Linked DNA regions of Saccharomyces cerevisiae S288C. The protein of the gene in region 2 binds, or shares a complex with, the protein of the main gene of each other region. Each region holds a gene or a part of one and is shown on either strand. Other genes may lie near its edges. A codon is read from its position in the direction of its gene.

Evidence for each region.
Region 1: the proteins of CSL4 (region 2) and MTR3 are in contact, whole or in part, in a cryo-EM structure (PDB 5G06), measured with the Saccharomyces cerevisiae proteins. Residues at the interface, in NP_014167.1 of Saccharomyces cerevisiae: Ile10 (codon at 1,623), Tyr12 (codon at 1,617), Pro13 (codon at 1,614), Gly14 (codon at 1,611), Pro39 (codon at 1,536), Gly40 (codon at 1,533), Thr41 (codon at 1,530), Lys42 (codon at 1,527), Ile44 (codon at 1,521), Gln45 (codon at 1,518), Tyr46 (codon at 1,515), His48 (codon at 1,509), Thr57 (codon at 1,482), Ala58 (codon at 1,479), Thr59 (codon at 1,476), Leu60 (codon at 1,473), Val61 (codon at 1,470), Asn126 (codon at 1,275), Asp127 (codon at 1,272), Phe128 (codon at 1,269), Ala129 (codon at 1,266), Asn130 (codon at 1,263), Leu132 (codon at 1,257), Pro133 (codon at 1,254), Lys134 (codon at 1,251), Gln192 (codon at 1,077), Ala193 (codon at 1,074), Leu197 (codon at 1,062), Gly198 (codon at 1,059), Glu199 (codon at 1,056); in NP_011674.3 of Saccharomyces cerevisiae: Glu54 (codon at 1,094), Asn55 (codon at 1,091), Cys56 (codon at 1,088), Asn57 (codon at 1,085), Tyr78 (codon at 1,022), Gly79 (codon at 1,019), Pro80 (codon at 1,016), Arg81 (codon at 1,013), Ser82 (codon at 1,010), Arg84 (codon at 1,004), Gly85 (codon at 1,001), Ser86 (codon at 998), Phe87 (codon at 995), Asn126 (codon at 878), Arg129 (codon at 869), Tyr130 (codon at 866), Pro131 (codon at 863), Lys132 (codon at 860), Ser133 (codon at 857), Ala181 (codon at 713), Ala183 (codon at 707), Gly184 (codon at 704), Ile185 (codon at 701), Glu186 (codon at 698), Leu187 (codon at 695), Val188 (codon at 692), Asp189 (codon at 689), Met190 (codon at 686), Lys205 (codon at 641), Glu208 (codon at 632).

Annotation. Positions count from the first base shown.
Region 1 is NC_001139.9:804,769-808,020, forward strand, and holds MTR3 (exosome non-catalytic core subunit MTR3), read right to left. Parts: upstream 1,254-3,252; coding exon 501-1,253; downstream 1-500. Other genes in the region: CHO2 (phosphatidylethanolamine N-methyltransferase), read left to right, coding at 1-281; NSR1 (Nsr1p), read right to left, coding at 1,644-2,888.
Region 2 is NC_001146.8:213,323-216,572, reverse strand, and holds CSL4 (exosome non-catalytic core subunit CSL4), read right to left. Parts: upstream 1,651-3,250; coding exon 772-1,650; downstream 1-771. Other genes in the region: PDR16 (phosphatidylinositol transporter), read left to right, coding at 1-586; BNI4 (Bni4p), read right to left, coding at 1,973-3,250.

The DNA.
Region 1 (3,252 bases), on a different chromosome or scaffold from region 2:
CTACACCATTTGAAATTTCATTGCCGGTACTAAATACCACGACACCTGAACTGTTTGAGAAGGATTTGACTGAGTTTTTGACGAAAGTCAACGTTTTGAAGGATGGTAAATTTCGTCCATTAGGAAATAAGTTCTTCGGGATGGACAGCTTGAAACAATTGATTAAGAACTCAATTGGCGTCGAACTTTCGTCTGAGTATATGAGGAGAGTCAATGGTGACGCTCACGTTATTTCGCATCGCGCTTGGGATATAAAACAAACGCTTGATAGTCTTGCTTGAGTTTTTTTTTTTTGAGTATATATATTTAAAAAGTACTAGGATTCAAGTTAACATTTTGAATAGAAGTAGTTATGTTGTTGTAATATAATGGAGCTACCATATATGCAGAATGACATTATAAATTATGATGTTGATGTACAATGCCTTTGTGCGCTTCTTTTACCATGAATTTTTTCTTAACCTCTTTCACTTTTCTTTCCGACTAGGATAATCTCGTGTCTAAGTTTCCTGGTTCATTAAACAGCTTATCATTAAATCTCTATAACGGTTATATTGCTCCTTGCAACGATCAAGGCATTCCAAAAGATCTTCATCGTCACCATCATCCTTCCAAAAACCTACAATTTCCTCTCCATTTTTGATGAATGATACGACAGTGCCATTGGCCTCACCGGCACCTGCCATATCCACTAATTCGATGCCGGCATCAGCTAAGGCTAGCGTTATACTAGTGATACAATGTGGTATGAGAGATGATATTTGAGAAGACATCATTTTGCTTTGCGAATCGTCGTCCTGAGGATTATTTGTAAGATCCTTATCATACGTTAAATAAACGAAGATATCGATGCCGGACTTGGGGTAGCGAGATAGGTTTACTACTGAATTGAAAATGCCCATTAAAAAGCTGCTAACTTCCTTCAGTTCATTTGTGTTATATTTTTCCAGAAGACCGTTCTTTAACTGAATAGATATAGTACCTTGAGATGTGAAGGATCCTCTAATGGAGCGTGGTCCATAGACAGCGGTAATGAGCGATGTTTGGTGTCCTAAGCTTCTAGCTTCTACTAATGCAGATCCATTGCAGTTTTCGATGAAACCGGTATGTAGAGAAAGTTCCTGTTCACTTTCATTGCCTTTAGGTGTCAAATCTGTTGATTTCTTTTCTGGCACATGAGTAGTAGTGTTGCTAAACGCCATTGGCTTGGCAGCAGCAGGGCCTAATAACCTCCTTCTGTCTTGAACATTCATTTATTCTGATAACACCTTAATGTGAGTATGTTCCTACTTTTAAGTGGAGTATGTGCTAATCCTTAAAGGAAGTTTTCGTGGCTCAATCAAGCACAACGCCCAAGCTTTTATTTAGATATTCATTTCATATTACTGAAATTTTTTGAGTATTTTCCAAGGCCTTGTAATCTTCCGTATCTAGCGATCTCATCTCATCGTGAAAAAAAAAAGAGTAAGCCATTCGAAGAAAAGTTGGCAAATAGAGATGGTGAATGAAAGGTTTAAGAATGTATCCTATTTACTTACTAATGTACACAAAATATTATAGACCAAATTTTTCCTCAAAAATGGAATATAGTAATTAACGTAAAAAGAGAAAAAATTGAAATTGAAATTCATTTCATTTTCTCATTAATCAAATGTTTTCTTTGAACCAGCGAAAGAAGCGGTATTTCTTGATCTGCCCAATGGAGCAGTATTAGCACCAGAACCAGATGGTCTGAAACCGCCACGGCCACCGCGAGCGCCACCACGACCACCGAATCCACGGTTACCGCCACGACCACCGCCACGACCACCAAAACCACGGCTACCGCCACGACCACCATCGTTGTTTGGTCTTGGAGAAGAGAAGTCTAATCTAACTGGTCTGTTGTCAATGTATTCACCTTGTAAAGCGTCTAGAGCCTTCTTGGCGTCCTCCATGTTGGAGAATTGAACATAACCGAAACCTTTTGGTTGTTCAGTTTCTGGATGTGTTGGGATACGGACGGAAACAACTTCACCGTGTTTAGCGAATAATTCGAAAATAGCGTCTCTGTCAGCATTGAAAGATAAGTTACCCAAGAACAAAGTGTCAGATGGTTCAGATGGGGTATCACCGAATTTCTTGGCACGATCGTTGTTACCAGCTGGCTTGCTTGTGGACATATCACAGTTGATTGGTCTACCATCAATTTCCTTACCTTGCATTTCTTGAATGGCCTTTTCAGCATAAGATTTGTTTTCAAAATCAACGTAACCATAACCACGAGATCTATCGGTACCTCTTTCATAAATAACTCTGGCACCAATGACACCACCGATGTGTTCGAATTCCTTCTTCAACCATTCGTCATCAATAGACCACGATAGTCTACCAACGAAAATAGTAGCTGGTTCTTCGGTTTCTTCATTTTTTTGCTTCTTGTTGGAAGACTCTTCGTCTTCTTCTTCTTCGGCGTCCTCAGATTTACGTTTCTTATCGTTAGACTCTTCCTTTTCGCTTTCGCTATCAGAAGATGAAGATGAGGATGAATCAGAGCTAGAAGATTCTTTTGATTCTTCCTTCTTGGTTTCTTCTTTTTCTTCTTCTTCTTCTTCGTCGGAAGAAGAGTCAGAGGAAGAGGAAGAGGAATCCTTGGATTCTTCCTTCTTGGTTTCAGCTTCACTTTCGCTGTCAGAAGACGATGAAGAAGAGGATTCAGAATCAGAGGATGAAGATGAAGATGAAGATTCAGATTCAGACTCAGACTCAGATTCAGATTCAGATGAAGATGAAGATGAGGATGAAGATTCGGAGGAAGAGGAAGAGACGGCCTTAGCTTTTTCTTCTTTGGCTTGTTTGGAAGCCTTAACTTCCTTCTTGTTACCTTTTACTTTAGTAGTCTTAGCCATCTTATTTTATCCTGCCTGGGTTGAGTGATCCGAAATTGGTTAACAGTTCGTCTTTGGGAAGCAAAAGTAAGAAAAATACTACGAAAGGAAATAACTTAAGGTACCAATGGATTGGGAAGTGCAGACAGCAACAGCTACACTTAAGTACTTTTAATATTGGATTGAAAATTTTCGTTCTTGCGATGAGCTGCCCTTGCAAATTTTTCACCAAAAAAAAAAAAAAAAAAAGAAATGGAGTGAAAAAAGAAACGAAAAAAAAGGGCATGGGGACCCATACATCAGGCACTTACCCCCAGGAAGGATTACGTCTTTAAATCAGAGGATCAAAGGGTAATTAACAACCACCAGTCGAATTGCTGTCGTC
Region 2 (3,250 bases):
CTTATATTTGAAACCGGGCAGACAAAATACAAAGACTTCTCACAGACAGGTACAGCACTTGGTCTTCATGTTGGAAAGAGTTATCGATTTTATGCCAGCTGGTCAAGACTCTCTAGCTTTGCTAATAGACTTTAAAGATTACCCTGATGTTCCTAAAGTACCTGGCAATAGTAAAATCCCACCTATTGGTGTAGGGAAAGAAGTGCTGCATATTCTACAAACTCATTATCCAGAAAGACTAGGAAAAGCACTTTTGACGAATATTCCTTGGTTAGCATGGACTTTCTTGAAGTTAATTCACCCTTTTATTGACCCACTGACCCGTGAAAAGCTAGTTTTTGATGAACCATTTGTTAAATATGTCCCTAAGAACGAACTAGATTCGTTGTATGGTGGTGATCTGAAATTCAAGTACAATCATGATGTTTATTGGCCAGCTCTGGTGGAAACCGCGCGTGAAAAAAGAGATCATTATTTTAAGAGGTTTCAAAGCTTCGGTGGTATTGTAGGTTTAAGTGAGGTTGATTTAAGAGGTACTCATGAAAAACTTCTTTACCCAGTAAAATCGGAAAGCAGTACCGTGTAAAGGCAAATTTAGATAGATAATGATAATGCACTATAATATATAATAAATAAAAGAGAATAAAAAGTTTAATCACGTTCCCGCTTCTTTTTCCTAACCATCAAAGAATGCAATCTAAAGAAGAAGAAGCGAATACCCTCTTTTAAATATATACGCGTCTATATGCACTGTAGATAAGCTGTTACATATCAAAAAGGTTTGGCACATTTGCGCTTTTCTGTAGCGCCTGTAACCGGTGAAGTCATCATTTGCCAGTCTGTAGCATACATCAATCCACCAGCACCATTAGCAGCTCTGGCGAACACGACCCCAAGGTCATTCCTTGCAGTGGTCAAATAGTAGTTGGTTCCGTCACCTAATGATAAAACTTGCGCCCTAACAATATCTCCCGGCTTGAAACATTCTATCACTTTCACACGATCTCTGTCTGTAGACCGTACATCCTGAGACCTGATTATACCTCTGAATGTCTCACCTAAATCTGATGATGCTTGAGAAACAGAGAACGTAGCTGCTCCAGAACCGCCACCAGCAGCGACTATTCCCGATCCATTACTGCCGATGCCACTATCAATTGGAGATGGTTTATCTTCCACAGCTAAAATTTCGACATTGGCTCGTTGCAACGAAAGCCTTGTCACCCTGGTCAGCACAATATCACCTTCCTTCGGTAGGTTATTGGCAAAATCATTATTAGCATATTTGTTGGTTTTACGACCCTTTTCTGTCCCAGGAAGCACTGAAACCAGAATATTTTTTACAGTTCTTCTTGTGACATCATTAGGTGATGCATCTACTGATTTTTCTTCCTCTGTAGATTGATCAGTGCCTTCACGCTCTTCTTCCTGATCAGTTTTTTTTTCTTCCTCACACCTCACTGTCCCAACTAGTGTAGCAGTTATAGCTTCTAAAGTTCGTCCGTTGTGTTCATATTGAATTAGTTTAGTTCCGGGACCGGGCACATAATTGAAAATTATATCTTCGCCATCTTTATTTTCCGTACCGTACTGTGGGCATATTAGTTTACCTGGATAAGCTATTTCTGGAAACTGAAAATTGCATGCCATTATAATACACTTATAGATTGAGGTATTCAATGCTCTGGAAAAAATCAAAGAATCTTTAATATACAAATGCGTAGTTAATCATGCCGTACCATAAGCTCATCATCAGTGAATTCTGGATCTTATTTTTCTTTCTTTTTTCAATATTTTTTGGAAATTTTTACTTCACGTGACGGAGACGGGTAATGCAGACGGTATTTTGAAATGATGCCGCAAATACAACACATAACACCCAAGATTCTTGCGATAAATTATAGGTTTATAAAAACTAGAATGTCTTGATATGTATGATTTGATTCATTTCCATTTCTCCCAGTTTTCTGCTCTAATAAAAATGTGTGTAACATCGCGAATCATCGTGTACTTCCATTGCGCTCTTTAACTCATTTAATTCCAATTTGATCATTTGAGCCAGTTGTGGAGTAAGCTGGTTACAAGTGGAAATTTCTGGATGTCTATCATATTCGAATTCTCCATAAGTGTCGTAAAGTATTATCTGGGACGAAAACCGGACACCCTGGTCATTATTACTGTTTACATACACCTCACCTAGACTTGTTAAGTCTGATTTTACGGGAGAATCAGGCGTCATGGAGTCAATAAAAGAAGTATTCATTCTTGGGGCTTTTAGTCCTTTAAAGGACATTGAAACAGGTCTATTGGGTTCGAATTCTGGTAAATATGCATTATTTCTTGGAGTAACTTCTATGGGCTGTTCTATGTGTTTGTTGAAATCTTCATTCTCAAATTCGTTGTCATTTATTTCACTTCCGTCTTGTTCAAATGTATGTAATTGACCTTGACGCTCATCTCCGTATGTAGTAGCTCCAGCAGCGGAATAAGATTGAGTTTCTCTTTCTTTGTAACTATCCTCTTTGTTATTTCGTGTATCAAAAGTACCAGAGCGATTTACTTCATCATTTCCAACAGGTTCAGGGGTTTCTGTTGCATATGAGGCCGTTGTATCTCCCAAGTCTAGGTCTAGATTGAGATCATCATCACCGAAGTTAATAAAACTTGCAAACTCCATTATATCAGAAATTAACTCGTTATCATCATCTGCAAAAACGCTTTGCCTTTCAGAATCCTTCTTCAGAGGTTCTTCTCTTGGTTTTGGTACATCCCTTTCAACTTCAGTTTTTTCTTCATCAGAGGCCATCACTAGCTGGTCAAATTTTTGTTCAATAGACTCTAAAAATATGTCATCTTTTTTTAGTGGACCACTATCGTCCTTGATATCTAAAAAGTCCTCATTCGTGGTACCTTCGTAAGAGTGTTCTCTGGAGAAATTATCTGAGTATTCGAACCTTCCATTCTTTAAAATGCTGCTAGCAGGAGACTTCGTCAAGTCTGGAGTAGATAATACAACAGAAGATGCCTCAGTGATGAACATTCCCTCACTTTGCGCTTTGATCGATAGCGTATCTGTCAATGACCTTCTTTGCGAGTTCATTGAACTTCTCTTGTTAGACTTTGTAGATCTTGTTCTTTCTAAAGAAACGATCGAGTCGACTTCATGATTATCCAAAAATTTTGGGAAAAGAACCTCACCTGTATCGTGTTTGGAAAATGCTGGTGAGGGTGCTTCGTAGTCCAGTGATAA